Linked DNA regions of Styela clava. The protein of the gene in region 2 purifies or fractionates together with the protein of the main gene of each other region. This does not show direct contact. Links are inferred from orthologs where the notes say so. Each region holds a gene or a part of one and is shown on either strand. Other genes may lie near its edges.

What was found. Proteins that work in one complex are often made in the same cells at the same time.
Region 1: the proteins of segment polarity protein dishevelled homolog DVL-3-like (region 2) and vang-like protein 2 purify together in Drosophila melanogaster (affinity purification with western blotting; 3 studies listed by BioGRID). This does not show direct contact. The link is inferred for Styela clava from reciprocal best matches to the Drosophila melanogaster genes dsh and Vang.

What each region holds. Positions count from the first base shown.
Region 1 is NC_135253.1:1,170,284-1,178,979, reverse strand, and holds the start of vang-like protein 2, read right to left. Parts: upstream 3,576-8,696; 5' UTR 3,298-3,575; coding exon 3,251-3,297; intron 2,763-3,250; coding exon 2,662-2,762; intron 1,062-2,661; coding exon 970-1,061; intron 1-969.
Region 2 is NC_135256.1:5,539,358-5,548,068, reverse strand, and holds the start of segment polarity protein dishevelled homolog DVL-3-like, read right to left. Parts: upstream 3,531-8,711; 5' UTR 3,418-3,530; coding exon 3,254-3,417; intron 1-3,253.

The DNA of each region.
Region 1 (8,696 bases), on a different chromosome or scaffold from region 2:
TATTTACAACCACAAACAGGAGTTTACGCATCGCAGCCGACGCTCCAATGACAAAATAGTTTACGATCGAAGGAATGTAACATATTTAGCGTGCTAACTTTTCTTCAGCATCACAGGATACAGCTAGGGTTTTTACTTCAGGTCCCAACTTCTAAAGCGCACAGTGCACATTATGGGGGTAATTAGAAATGATTACATTGCGAGAATTGAAAAACTGTAGAATCACTTGTAGATGACATTTACCTATATGGTTAAACGGAAAAAGGAAGGATACGATCCACTGTACAAACTGAAATATTACAACGGATTCGAACAATAGATAATCCACCAAGGGAAAAATAAATATCCTCACCTCAGGGGACGAGAAATATTGTTGGTGACAAAGAAACAGAAAGAAAGTTTACATTATATGTTGCTCTAATCCTGTCTTTGTTAGCAATCTATACTCTATGAAAACATTGTCCAACACCCACTTCAGATGTATCAATAACTATTGGGAAAAGAACGGTTCATATGCTAGACATGAATTTTCCCAGACTTTGTTTCATATCCAAATACCAAAATTTAACCCTACTGAAAACATTCAAAACCCCATCCGCAATAAACACTGCAGAAAATTTTATACTAATCTGTCCAAACCACAGAAAACAACTAGGTAGATGTCTTATGCCAGTATTGAATTTTGCAGCAATCAGAATTAAAGATAATAATAATTGGTGACTATACAAAGGTGAAGTGTAGCAAACTTGTTTTCATCCCATATTTCATAATTACAAGTAAGACTCACTTGTATATTTGATTGGGGTATTTCTAGTTGAATGGAAACAAACACAAATTTAGGGTCTAAGTTTGTATCATATCTAATAAAAAGCCTTCCGACATCAGTTGGAGAATCTATGTTATCCATTCATTCATGTTGTTTGAGTGATAATTAATAAACATGCGTCTTCAGATTAAAATATACTATACCTGAGGCATGTCAACATGAACATCTTCTGATCTGTTGTTTTCATTGCGACTAGTGTCTAGCGGTGGTGTTCGAATTGTGACTATCTTTTCTCCTGTTTGAGTAAAATTGTTGTAAATTAAGTGCCAATTTCCTTAAGCCGCACCATAATTAAACCGATTTGTGGCTCTTAATAGCATTAGAAAACAGCCAAGAGCAAATTCCATTAGTGATAGTTTTCTATAATATAACTTTGTTGTATCGAGATTTTGATGACTAAAACAGTAATATTCAGATTGGCACAACCAAGCATAACAAAAATAAGATTTTTAGTTTATGTTATTCATTACATACCTCATATTATAATGAAACATATTAAAAGGTCCAAATTGTCCAATTATACAGGTTGAGATTCAAGATTTCTTGATAAAGATCACCAATTGATCATAATACATAGCATGAGATCAAATGAAAGTGAATTTATATAATAACATGCAATGTTCAATAAATTCTGTATGCATAATGCAGTGGAAGATTTTACCTTAATTATGACTAAATAAAATTGGAAAACATGTGCACATTGTAAAAAATCAAATCAAATAAACAAACCATGACATTGTGAGATTGGTGTGTGGCACAAATGCAAACTGACAATGGGTTCTTTGTATTTGATACCTCAATATCATAATACAATTCAATAAGCTTCATAATATAGTGGGAAAATAGTTCATATATTTTTCACCCAAAGCATATTTTATTTGAGATTTGAAAAAAAATTTAAATCGTGAATTTACGAATCAATGACATGCCATTGTCAAATTCCTGACAAACAATCAAATAATGCATATTGATGGGTTTCAACTTATGAGACATTCAAAGCTTTTGAAACTTATTCCATTTTGAATGGAAATTGACATACATGCCACTATTGTAACGCGTTGAGGTAATATTTGAGTGATACAATATTTTGTGAGTCTGATTATTCAAGTTTGTGCAAAATATTATAAGAATTACGATTGAGTTATTGAAAATATGATGTTATATTTGTGCAATAACCTAATTTTAAGTTGCATTGGATAAACAGACAGCTTAAAAGTCACTCGACATCTAACAGTAAATCACTATAAAGTAATTTCGGAAAATAAAATATCAGTTTTATTCTTAACTCTAGCATTCTTTCAAAATTATATGTCAGTATTACTTTTCTCAAGTCAAGACATAACATGGGTTAATAAAGCTTTATTATATTATTTTATAATAATATAGGTACATGCAAGTTTCCTAGAATTTATACTATTTATTTTGCTCAAAAATTCTACTAGTCAATCATCTATGCAAAAGGTGTGTGTCTTGTGAAAACTATGCAACCATCCAATTTAACTACTGTATATATGAGTTCCAAGCATGGAAAAACTAAACTTTGGCTCTTGGGTATGTCACTGAATGGTGTAACTGAAGTGAACAATTCAGATAACTAACTATTAATAGATAGTTTCTAGTTGAAAAGATCTTAAATGAGAACCTCATTTTTATGGATTATAGTCAACAAAAACAAAATTGACTGTATTACCATGAGAAGCATTGACGTGCAGAATTATTCAGGTTATTAAATATTTTTATTGATATTGGGAAATTATTCAAATTAAAATAACAAAACGACATCATGCTCGCATGTTATTTGCCATGTCAGTTGCCACCTGTGTCATCACACAAACCTCCACTGTCATCAAGCTCGTGGTTGCTACCTCGACTCCTGTGTCTTTTGTTAGAACGATCATGAGGAGAACGATGTCTTCGATGTTTTGATCTTTCAGATCTAAAATTTAGATGTATAAAACTATAAATGTCTGCTACAAATTGAGCCCCACAAACTAGGCCACAAATTAACCTTAGAAACCTTGACAAGGATTTTTTATGGCGCTCCAGAAGTGTGTGTACCAATATGGAGATAACTAATTTTGTTCACCTATTTTACATTGAATTGTATAAAGGGACTGAAACCTATGGGCAGGGGGATATTCACTTGGCTAATACAGATAGTCCACGAACTCGTAATATAACTAAAATAGGGAAAATCAGAATGAAATTATGGCCTAACCCTAACCTGGTACACATACTACGGGAGTACCTTATTCATTACAATAATATGTGGACTAAATCCCCAAATCACATTTTTATTTTAAATTCTCCACAAAACACACTTATGCCTATGCATATGACTTTCGCTATAGTACATAAAAAAATACTGAATTTGTTTAAATATCAAGATAATTCCGACAGTTACAAATTACAATAAACTATTACCTGTTTGTCAGCTCTGAGTAATTTGATTCATTATCAGTAGGATCCATTTTTCTTATGTTTGGATAAATCCTTCAAATACACAGCTGCTTGAATATATAATCCACAATAAATCTCAGAATAAAAATATCAGACACATCGGCAGCAAGTCGTAGTGATATCTACCAGATCCACATGTGAAACTTACAGTAGACCTGTTGTGACACCACTGCAATATTTTGCCCAGAAGATATGGATTTTCGAGTTTTCAACAGGCACCTCACCTGGAATAATTGTAATATTGGGAAACTATGTACTAAACTGAAAAACTATGCTTTTGGGTAGAAATGTAAAAACGGGATGAAATTTCATTTATGATGTGAGTATCTACTACAACCTCCAGTTAAAAGTGGATATATAATATAATACTATATTAACCTGATGATTCATATTATTACATTTACACTTTTTTGACACGGCCAAAGACAATGCTTAAAAAGTATCAGAAACCTTGCAGGTCCAACAGTAACACACATCCATTGTAAACAACTGATTACAAAATCACACTGATTATAAATGACCCATCCAGGTGGGAACTCCGCCGACAAAAGACTTGATATGGCTGGCTACTGTGACTCATCTTTTATCAATAAACGACCATGCGTAAACACGCCACATTAAAAACGATGTCCAAACTGATAGATAACGCCTGACGCAAAATAACACAAGCGTGCGACTTTTTCTTGGATGGTTAAATATTAACAACGTATGAATGGCACTCTCGAGAAGGGATAAGAAATAAGTACCCTAACGTTTACAATGAATTATAAATCGAGCATTGATAAATACGCTAGTAAACCTGTTCAAATTTGCGACCAAAAACGAACAATACCATCAGAAGATTTGAAAATCCCGGGCCATGCGGTTTTAAATAAAGCTCGTTAAATGCCAAGATTTTCACATATAAACAGGCTAATTAACCCCATCCCCGAAAAAATGTTGGAAATTTACAAGGTAGAGGAATGAATTTATCACGTTGCGTTGTTAGTGTTTTATATTCTTTTCTATTCTTATCGCAAAGTGGCAAATTGAGCAGGAGAAGCTTCTCATATTGGTAGGGTGCTTACGGGATTGAAATAACGAGCTAAAATGAGCATCCATTGGCGGCATCGTCTGAAAATCATTAAAAGTTTTGATCGCTTTTCAAAAACAATGCAATGGTTCGGCAAATAAAGTAATCTTCTAAAACGATGCGCTTGATCATCTTCGAATTAATCCGCTCGTTTCCTTCTTATACGAAATTAGGCCATCTATCGCCGACTAACAAAACACAAACAAAAGCCGCTGGGGAGTGCGAACACTGAACAATAGAATATAACTACCTTATTATTTTTATGATGCCATTCCCCGATGACACAGACAATAGACTCGCGTTACAAAATACGATTCAAATAATCCCATGGGCATTCGCTAAATCTGCGTGAAATCAATATACGGTAATTTTAATACTAACTAAAATGTGATGCGACAATGCCTCTTTCTAACAAATCATTCTAACAATCAATCACGCATTCGCTTGGTCATCTATATATGATATTCCGAAATCTCGGCTGATAATTCAGCGGTAACTTTAACTAAATGATCCATAACTTCGAAGGCAAAGAAGCATCAATTGTGCATCTAAATTAGAGTATAAAACCCAATCATTGTGCTTTAACATAAGAAATACCGGCGCCAGAATCAAATCTATCAAATATTTAGGAGTCGGCGTTATAATTTCCAATAACTGATAAAGACATAGGCAACTGGAAAAACAAATTTCAAATCCGGCTCGCTTGGACTGAATAAAGATTATGAAGCATATATTCTGATGTTATCCGAAGTGGCGTCCGTCAAAAATCATACGATCAAGAATATAAAAATGAAGTATTTTGTAAAATTTCCGCAAAATGTCATTTAATAATTGTTTTATATAAGGATGGGCAAATTTAACTTCGCAAGCAACTTTGCATACCAGAGGCCTTGACCACTTCAAAACCAATTTTCCCATATCGGCTCAAAATAAACTGATGCTGTAATACAGTAATAATATCCGCTCAACGACAATTTTACGAGATGTGACTAAAAATAAAAACACGTTTCAAAAACGCATGCTGTTACGAAAGTGAGGTCCATAGGCTGTCAGTATATAGAACGAACGACCTCAATCACTAATTGCTGCACAACGCCAAATTCGCATTCCGATTCAATGACGATATAGTTAACAGCTTTAAGAAATACCAACGGAAGTAACCTTTCGTGGTTACGCCGTTAACTGAATGTCGCTTACTATAATCCAACCGTGCTTAACTAATCATAAACTAACTATACGTTCTAAACTTGTAAAATTGCTTCACGAAAAGAAAAGTTGGCCGACGTTAACCAATTATAGTCACAATCTTTCCTGCGAGAAGTGATTTCCCAAACAGACTAATTAACACCTTTCTTCAAACCTTATTATCGCTAAATTAAATAATTTCGATTAAGCTACATTTAATTTAGTAAATTTTATATGTAGCCTCTTATCGGTGAATCCTTTTAACATGCAAGGCGACGAACGCGTACTTTTTAAACTGGGTGTTGGCTTTTATCAAATAACCAATTTACTCGAGACTTACATCCGATAACCGCGCGCAGACGCTTTCGACGACTTTCCCAGCATGAAAGCGATTACCATCTGCTGCGGCACTCGAAAAAATGATCTTTGTCCGGCACTGTTCGTTAGCGCACCTGGTGAGTATAAACAAACGGAACTATAACCATGAAATATATACAGTGATGTAAAGTGAAAAATAGCCGGACCTGTTGCCCCATCCAGCTATCAAAATTTTACACATTTTTACATATATCGAAGAATGCAGTGTCTCACAGAAAAAGAAAATTGCGTCGCAAAGAGCAGTTCCTAGTGAAAAATTATGTAATGAAATGTTTTTTTTCTTGTTGATTTCATATATATATATATATATACGTGTGTACCAGGGATTTCTCTACACATTCTTCCATCTTCTCATTATTCATTCCTTCACTGAGCCCTCAAATAAAAGTGATAGCATTGGCATTTCCAGAGACTGGCTCACACGCCAGTGTACGATTATATGTGCGTAAAAATTGTGATTTGTCCAAGTGGTATTTCCACATCTAGGTCAAAAATACAACTACTATATCACAGAACGCCGTCTGTTTATGGTCCCATACAAAGCGTTCTTAGGTTCTCGCTTTCTTAATTTTGGATAGGTTGAGCTCAATTCGTTTCACTAAACTTTGGGTCATACATGATTTTAACAATAATTCAACTATCGCCCTCAAAGTTTGGCGAAATTCCAATTTATCTCCGTCTTCAGCTCATAACCATAAAAAATATTGAAATGTATTGTTGTTCAAATACTTTTGTCGTCCGTTTAAAAACTGACTTAATACTGTTTATTCAACTTTCCGGTGGGAACAAATACCACATGTGAATACCAATTTGAATTTGAAGCCCAGCGTTATTCAATTTCAAGACCAATAGGTTTCTGCGACTGGGCAAATCCAAAGCTCTCAAAGTTGCAAGATTTCACATCATGTTCTAAATTTGTAAACACCCCCACCCCAGCCTGACAATAAAGTAGCGTAAGCAATAATATCATAAAACACCAAGCGAGTCAAAATATCCTAAAATGCCCAGATACAAATCGAATTCATTGTGCCATTAATCTTTGTATATATATATAAACCTCAAAGCGGCCGGCAGATCATCTAGTCCAGATCCGATTTCACTATAAAATTAATATATTTTCGTCAATATGACTTTTTAAATTTTTTTTCATTAGCGATGAAAAAGGTCTAGGCTACTCCAATAATTCTTAGGACAAAGTTTATGAACAACACTTTACTTCTAGCTACGTCTTCAAACTTTTGGTCGTTCGTGCGCGCCAAAATATCAGGGAAAAAAGTTACGACGCAAAAAATAACAGTAAAACTGAATTTTGTGATCGTTAACGCGTACTTTTTGCCTTTTAAAGTTTGAAAACATGTAGGTCTGAAAAACAAAGGCAACGTCAACTCTGCCTGATTTTCCCTTGAAATACCAAAAAAAAAATCACTCATGTTCGCTAAACTCGGTTTGGCAGATAATTTAACTGCAGCTTGCAAAATTGCAACAAGTAGTGTCTACCTCTATTGTCACGTAACAACGGAGGCAGACACTACGTAGCAGATAGTAAACGACATAGAAAGGTAAGATAAATTTATTGATTCATACATACAGCATTTAAAATAATAAACAATAACACATTTATATATAATAAATACAATATTATGTAAAATATTCAATCCTATATCAGTCAACAACCCCGTCTGTATACTATTTCTATGATAGCTGTATACCAGGGGTCGGCAACTCCTGGAACGCGTGCCAAAATGGCACGCGAGAGGGTTTTCCTTGGCACGCCAAGTGATTTGGAGCGCACGCACACGTATTTATCCAATTTTTGTTAACTCATCCAAAGTGTAAGAGAAAGCGAAAAAATGTCTGCACTTAACCGGGGCAAATTAGCATTACATAATGAAAAATGGAATAACATGTCATTGTACTTTTTAATAAATAGTTTGCCTGTTCACTTATTTGTATGAACAAATATTTTTGCACATGAAGTTCATTCTCTATCCCCATCGCAGCCGACATACGGAAGATCATTCGGAAACTTGTGCTCGTCTGAAAGTGTTCAAATATAGTCCCGATATTACATAGTTGAGCAAGAAAAAGCAGAAACAAGGATCTCATTAAAAGCGAGTCTTTTTTGACTGTAATAGACGTTGTCCAATAAAATTAATAAAATAAAGTTGTCTTTCATCCACTTACTATTCAAACCATGTAGCTTATAGGGAAAGAGTAGCCATATCTGCAGGTTCGACTCCCGTATTATTGGATTGACACACGTTATGAAGCGTAACCCCGATCTGGACTCCTTCAGGAGTCAAAAAGCACACAATGTATGGAATGCCAAATGTTCGTATATTGCAAAGATTCACAAAAAAATCCAAATACAGATATATATTGGAATTAGAGGTAAGAACGGGCCCAAAAATTCCAGCCCGACCCAGGCCCGTGAGTACTAAACCAGACCCGACCCCGGCCAATTAACTGGATTTGCAGGCCCGAGCCCGATATTTCATATTTTATTCACGAGTTCTTTGAATTGTCATTACAAGAGTTTAGTATAGTATGTGTCGTGCCGACCAGACCCGAACGTAATGATTGACATTTCAGGCCCGAATTTCTGGTCGGGTCGGGCTTCAGATCTTAGCTTTAATTGGAATACACCTAACCCGTTAATGCAGTTATACGTGGAATCCAAGGCAAAATCATAAGAACATAAAAAACACGGTATTCCAACACTCGGCAAAACCGGAAACACACGTCATCCAAATTAGTCGCTACAAAAGAAGGCTA
Region 2 (8,711 bases):
CAAATTATCCAGATTGTGGGTAAAAACCGATTAATGACAAGGCTTGGAGTATGAGGCATATGATGCCAGACAGCATAGTAACGTAACATACATACGGATTCAGAAGCAATAAATGTAAAGTATGGGGGTCATGCACAAGCAGAACAAACAAACTGTTTTTAATATTTATGTAAGTATCATACAGAACAAAAACACTAGACTATAGAAAGTATAAAATGTACATAAAATCTTAAAACTTTTTACAATTGCAAAGGGATATTGTTTGGCCCTCACAAATGTATTAAATGAAGTAAAAGTACTTGAACAATTACTGATTGAAAATCTGGTAAAGAATAAGATATATTGAGAACTGATTTGATTTCATAACAAAATTGGAATTGTAGAGGGACTTTATGGACACCCTGTATATATCATTTATTTATTATTAAACTCTTGCTTCAATAACAACCAGACGCTGGGATTTCACATTACAGATGATATTAGTAATCTCTTGGGACAGAGCGAGTGTTAAACTCTGCATTGATACAAAAATGCCACAACAAAGGGTGTCAATATTACAAAGAATATTTATAAACAGGACTAATTAAGACTGTGGCCTATGGCGCTAAAAGTTTACGAGTTGAAACATCTGCATTACTTTAACATTAGGAAAAATCAACTGACAACTTAACTGGTAAGATGCAAGATTTGGTAATGTAAGACCCATATATATATGTATGTATCACACAAATTAAACGGTTCTCAATTTACAAATCAAATTTATACCGGCAGTTCTCATTATGGGTGTCTTTAAAATACATTCAAAATGATGTTATATTTTTATTGCATTTATAGAATAAATTTTTCAAGATTTATGATATAAAAAATTATATATGACTAAATATCTGAAGTAAAAGTTGGAGACCGAGGTTCATATTCATCAATTCAATATATTCATAACTTCATCACCTAATTTAGTCAATTTTGTGTACTCCCGCAGTATGTGAACCAAGATGGCGGACCAGATTAGGGTTAGGCCATGATTTCAGGTACAAATACTACGGGAGTAACTTTGCTAGTCCCCGACTCGTAATGGAACTAAAATAAGGAAAATTGGAATAAAATTATGTCCTAACCCTAATCTGGTACACATACTATGTTCAAGTGTTCGCCATCTTGGTTCACATACTACAGGAGCGCCAATTTTTGAATACAGACACGATTGAATTGTGTCGAATTCTATTAAAAAGCCAAATCAATTCAACTTATCAATACTGTTTAAATACTTTTAGTCCACCGTGTATAGTTGCCTGTAGTGTATTGTTCAGAATGATGGATGAATAAATAAAAATTGAATAATACCCAAAATTTCAGCTACCGAAATAAAATTACAGATTTATAAAAGAGATTCATTATTAACAGTTTCAACCCATTAAATACCTTCTTATAAATTTGTGATGTTGAATGTCGATATGTGGATCAAAAATTTAAACAAAAGTAATACTTCTCTATAAGCGCGGAACATTTTCAGTTATAGATCATTATCTTATCCAATAGTCTATTGAATATTATTTGACTACGAAACTAAATAATCATAATATTTTCACAAAGCTTATTACAAAAGCTGTTTTTATAGGAGAGGAGTAAACTATATGTAAGGTTTTTATGAAAGCGTTATGCGCGTCATAATTTCAACTGGCCATTCTTTTGTCCACTAATAGGCTTCAATATTTATTCATGATATCTTTCTAGACTAATATATCTTAAGTGGGCTGGATGGTTGTCCAAAATTCAATTTAATATTATCTAGAAAATTTTGACATGAACTTTCTGGCTATACAGTCATACTATCTACTGCCCTGCAGGTCAATGAATTAGGATTTGAATTAGAAAATATTTTTAAATAATGAATAATAAGTTTATTCTTATTTCTGACCAAAACTAAAACTGATATGCGTTCTTTGAGTCGTATAAGTAAGTACATCAGAAGTTGGAATATTCTGAGGTATTTGGAATATTTAGAGAAGAACTGCCATAATGGTCAATGAATTAGGGTTTGAAGCATTTTTGAATATTAAATAATTTCACTTCTGATCAAAAATAAAACTGACATGCGTTCTTTAGGTTGTATAAGTACATTAAGAGTTAGTACAGCATACCAGTGATTTATATGTCTAAAAAAGTTATCAGTGTACGATAAATTATATTTGAGGCTCATAAGTTGATACAAAATCTGATAAATCCAATTTTTCCTTTATGTGATTCATCTTTGTATGATTTTTACTAGTCCAAGTCTTCCTAAAAAACTAAAGAAGAGTGATTACAAAAGAACATGGCCTAGCTTCTTATTTTCATTAGATTCAGAAATATAACACTTACAACAGAAAATCTGAACACATTGTCGGAAGTCGGCAACGGGCGACCCCAACAGACCACCTATCTATCAAGCATTACTTCATCAGCAAAAGTAGGTGTACAATTACAATGTGTAAACCTTAATAGGTTTGCGGTAAAAACACACAAATGAGAGAGATGGGTAATAAAACCAGACATAGAATGGATAGATTACTCAGAGGCCAAACAAACAATAACAAATGAAGCAAGGGAGAAACTGAAGAATGAGTGTTATCAACCATGCATAGGAACTTCGAGTTCAAAATAAAATCTAATATTCAAAAATCTTCCATTTTAAGAATTCAATATAAATGAAATTACTGCATTTTGGTAAATTCAGTTTTTGGGTGAAATCACAATTTGGTCAAATTTTAAATAGCTATATTAAGCATACAAGGTCATTGGAATTTGCAACTTCTTAGTAAATTTGGCGTCCCGAAAGTATGTGTACCAATATTGAGGTAACTAATTTTGTTCGCCTACTTTACATCAAGTTGTGTAAAGGACTGAAACCTATGGACAGGGAGTATATTCGCTTGGCTAACACAGACAGTCCCCGAACTTGTAATAGAACTAAAATAAGGAAAATAGGAATAAGATTATGGCTCAACCTTGACCTGGTATACACACTACGGGAGTACCTGAAGTACTGCATTTTTGGTAAAATTCAGGGTAAAATCACAATTTGATCAAATTTTATATAGCTACATTTAGCATACAATGTCTTTGTAATTTGTAACTTCTTATTTAGGCAAATTTTTAGGAATCCTAGTTGATCATTATGTAATAGTTCACATAAATACACTGATATTAGTAGATCACTGTTAACCTAAATTATTTGAACTTCTTTCAAAACAGAAAATCATAATTAAACACTTACCCAAAGTCGGCATCAGTTGATCGGAAAAAATACTTGTAATTGGGCTTGTTAATTGCCACCTTGAAGTTACCGAGTGTGATCTGCTCAGGTGGAATTGTAACTTTGCTCAAATAAGGCGTCGCTTCATCGCCAATGTAATAAACTATTTTGGTTTCTTCAGGCATGATTTAGCGTTGATTTTTATTTCACCGAGTAAAATTTGATAAAATTATCCTGTTCAGAAACTTTCTCATAGCATATATTTTGATTAGAGTTAAAATATAATATTGTTATCTGTAAAAATAGATGTTCAGAACGTTAAAAGAACATCTGAATAAGTAACCTTCAGGTAAAATATTACACATTGAAGATCTAAATTATCTATGGTAAGGCTTCATTTCATAATTATTTATCAAAAATTTCTTGCACAACAATAAACCATGCTTAAGAGAAACTACTACCTAATCAGCATATATTTTTGATCTATCTTTTATGTCTATTTCTATAGCTCACTGCAAAATAATTAGGAAATGACTCTTTTTTCAATGGAATCTCAAAATTTAAATATCCCATTAATTCAAATAATCACAAATCTTATAAAGATGAGACAAAATTTTATGAAATTGGATTTGTGGAGATCACATAAATTAGCAGACAATACATCATATTGATATCAATTTGAAGTTTAGCTGTATATTTTTAAATTGCCTACTTTTCACTTAAAAAGTTTTCAAAACATTTTTCAGAGTTTAGCAATTATAGTTTAAAATTAGTAAATTGAAGATGCAAAAATATTGAAATTAAAAAGAAAGCAAAGTCAATAAATATCAATTAATTTTATTGTAGTCTAAATCTTTTAATCCCTTCGCAGAAATTCTTGGAATATTTCCTCCTGTAATACGTTCTCTCTTGAATAAACCTTTTCATACAAAAACAGTGCCTTGGTGACCCAATCCCTATATTCAGTAAAAGAGCTCGTATTTTTATTGATACTTATCTTTTCACAAATTATTTGTGTTTTGGCAGACCATTTCACATATTCTAAATGTCCCATTAGAAGGATCATATCTCCCAAATTTATATCATTCACGTTTAACGACTGAAGCAGAGATTTCATGAAGGAAATATGTATATTGCTCTTTGAGACATCTTGTGGACTTTTGAGTTCTTGATCTTTCAAATATTTCTCAGATGCACATTTTGATATTTCTCCGACAGTATCGGTTGAAATTGGCTTTGACGATCCGAAACTATTTTTTCTTAAGATGCAATGAATCTGTCCAGTACCATCTTGAATTTCAAATCTCAGAAAATCGTCTTTCTTCTTAATCTCTGTAACAAACCCGAACACTTCCACTTTGTTAATTGGCAGCCCATGTGGATTTACAAACAGCGTTCTTGTCGCACATAACGGCTTCAGAGAATTAACTGCGCCAATGAGAAGCTTACAGTACGTGTTGAACGTTGGTATCATTGGTACACAAGAAACCGGTATTGTTGTCTCATATTCACACTTAGGATTTTCCATAATATTATATAGCTACGCTACTATATGATGCAGAAGTTAGACGATTTAAGATTGTGAAATTGAAACAAATAATAAACAATGAAACATTTGCAATAGTGGAATCAAGAAGACAATCATTTTATTAAAAATATTGAATAGTGATTATACGCTAGTTTATTTTGATACAATTGTAACAGAAACTCATCTAAATGAAGCGAGAATTATAAGCATTGGCAATGCCCTATATAAATGAGATTATTCCTGCCTATGATTTTCCATTGAAAATTAAAACATCTATTATTATACAGAGTACTATTAACGTCTATCGCCAAAACCTAAGCTTCAAAAAAGCTCTTTGCTCATTTCATCATGGCTCCAATATTTAAAGGATAAACTCTGAAAAAATAAGAAATGCCATATGAATATTTAAAAAAAAAATGAAAGTTATCATTGGTTTGAATAGCATCTAAACTTCAAAATTTATTATCAAAACTCAATTTTGAAATTTACTTCTAACTCACAGGTGAATCCAATCCCAAAATCCAGCAATTGGTTGTAAATCAAACTAAAGCATCTACGAATTACTAACGTTTTTTATTCTGAATAGTTAGTACTGATGTATACTAGAAAACTTTAAGTTACAAAATTTTTACACAGTCTTATGACGTTACAGATCATTTTTCTAATTAGGCTGATTATGGAGACGATTATAAATTAGTGAATTAAAATTTTTTTTTAATTTATACACTGTCAGACTGTTAAAATTTATAATATTTACCGTACATCTTGAATTGTCTACATTGATACTCACTCAAATGATGCTTTAATCTATAAATTCAAACTGGTTTATGAGCTACATTTTATTAGCACCACATTAAGCAATAGCACTGTCTTTTTTTGCCAAATAAATTCCTTTGCCACAACGGAATTATTGTATCGAGAATTCAGAAGCCAATAGCTGCATCTGCATGGTGATGCGGTGGCTTACCCAATGCGATGGCGTTTAGCTGTTAGGTCCTCTCATGTTCAAAAACTATGAGGCTGATTAGATCGCCTAATACTCGATAAGAATTGTTAAATATGCTAATGAATACTTAAATACCGCCGAATTTACAAATACTAAAGCATTTTATTATCCTACCTTAAGTACTGTGGGCCTACCTTTATGTAGTTTTCAGTACCGAACAATCACAACCGTTCCACCGGGGGCGCTACTGTGCACCACGAAAAAAAGCTGAAAAAATTTAGCACCTTATTTCATATTTATTTTTCTTAGCACGGAAATAATTTCGATATTACCTCATATTTCTCGAATTCACATTTGGGTTTTTTTAAAATATAAATCATCTGATGCCTTCCCTAGATATCGCGCATAACCATATACCACTTCTTTTATGAGGCGTTTTCATGTCTTTACTCCGAACAAATTTTTGTCCAAGCAATGAATAATTCGTACAGAATGGTGTTGAAATCTTCCTTCTTCAGAATAACCTACCCAATTCATTAAAGTCTGGATCAGGTAGTGAATATTTAAACCTAAAATCTTTAACCTGCGACGTCAATATAGTTTAGTACAGCGCTTCAGCCACTACTTCAGACACTAAGCAATCACGCCCATTCGCCGGATGAGAACAGAAGGGGCCTAAGTCACATTTTTGCAAAATTCACTTCTTTCAATATTTGGGGGTTTTGAGCCATGCTCTACAAGGTGGTGGTCTTGAAATTCTGAATTTATCAATAATAAAATTTCTAGCTGAACTTAGGACTGTAGAAGTTAAGAACACAAGTCCAGTGGGCCTGAGTCCAGCTAAAATTTTCAATATTATGAAAATTCAGAATTTTAAGACCACCACCTTGTAGAGCATGGCTCAAAACCCCAAATTACTGAAAAAAGATAGACCTAAGTTCCAATACGATGGGCATGAACATCAGGAATAAAATGTCCGAAACTTACATCCCTAAAAATTTCTTCAGTGCAACTTAGGCCTAAGTCACCTTGTTTTACCTTGCATCCCATACAAAAAAATTCAGAAGTTGTTGAGAACAGAATGGGCCATGTCTGGATGCAAAATTAACATGAGCAAATGCCAAGCTTTGTACCTGGGGGGAAACAATCATTGCCAAAATTGTTCTATGAAAGATCGAGGACTTGAGTGGAACCCAAAAGATTTTAAATTGTTGGGTATTTTTATATATGAAAATGATGCTGACCTTTATACTGTGAATATTTTGCCAAAACTCCAGAAAATGAAAATGATTGCACAATTATGGTCAAAAAAAAATCTTGATTTCCTTGGAAAAATTACTGTAATTAAATCCCTAATTTTTGTGGGGTTCAAAATGGGAGAGAATAAAACGTAACACGTTAATTGCACCTATAGGGGGAGGGGGGGGGGGGGTTAATATGATAGATATTGAATCATTTTTCATTGGTCTTAAATTAAGATGGGTTAAATTTTTAGTAAATGATGAATTTGATGCTTCGTGGAAATCTATAGAAATTTTTTTCCTAAATTTATATGGAGGAATGAATTTGTTCTATGGAAATGTATATCCATTTGGAATATTTATTAAAAACATTAAGTCGAGATGTTTAAGAGATACTCTATACTATTGGCATATTTTTAAATCTAAAGTTGTTACTGATGTAAGTCACTTGCATGAACCACTGTGGTTCAATAAAAAGATATCAAGTAAAGGGAAAATGTTATATATTGAAGATTGGAATAGAAAAAGTATTTGTTTTATTGAAGATATCTGTGATTCAAAACACAAAATTGCAATGTTTCCAATCATTTTTCATCATTATTGCTTTTCTGATTTTTATAATGACATGCAATCATATTTAAAAGTTTTATCATGTATACCCCAAGCATGGAAAAACAATTTAGTAAAAACCCCTCAAGCCAATCCACATCTTAGTCTATTGGAAGATATTAGAAGCATCGATAAAACTTCCAGATACATATATGACAAGCTTCGTAATGTAAAAATCTTGATGCCTAAGGAGAAAATAGAAAAATGGCCAAATGAACTGTGCAAGAACTTGGATAATTGGTTGACGCAGTATGAAAAAGTTTTTTATTGCACTATTGAATCGAGACTTCGATCTTTCCATGTTAAATTTGCTTTGCGAGCAGTACCTACAAATGACCTATTATTTAGGATAAATAAGACATCAAGTCCGAAATGTACATTTTGTGAAAGGAATGTTGAAACCGTGTTACATTTATTTTATTTCTGTGAATTTGTGCAACAATTTTGGGAAATAGTTAATGCATGGCTAACTGTTGAATATGGTTTAAATCTTAATCTGACATATAGAGAAATTTTAATGGGGGTAGAGCAAAACCAAGGTATAAACTGTGTTTTATTGAGTGCAAGATATTATATCTATAAATGTAAACTACGTAATGAAAGGCCTCAATTTGATCAATTTTTATATATGATAAAAAGTATATTTAACTGTGAAAAAATTTTTGCAACTAGAAAATGTAAACTGTCGAACCACATTAAGAAGTGGAAAGTTATCATGAACTCATTTTTTTAAAAGTGCAATTGTGTTTATGTGTTATATCGTGTGGATAAAAAGTGATGTTTTTATTAATAAAAAAAAATAAAATAAAAAAAAATAAAAAAAAAAAAAAAAAAAGAATGGGCCAAAGTCCATTATGGGGTTAAAAAAGCAGGAAGGAATTAAAGCTGAAGTGCCAAAAAATATTGATTACATAGATATTCACATCCACATTAAAATAACCAGAACTCAGGTCTCTACTAAGTGTGAATATCTAGAAATTCAAAAATAAAAAAATTCCAAATTGATTTTGCGTTTTTCTCAAGACTCAAAATTGTGACTTAGGCCTGTTCTGTTCTCATCCGGCGAATTATATTTTGGATGTGGTAAGGGTTAGTGATATAAATATTTAATAAATATCGAGAAATGAAACAAATTTTCGGAACCTTATCCATATT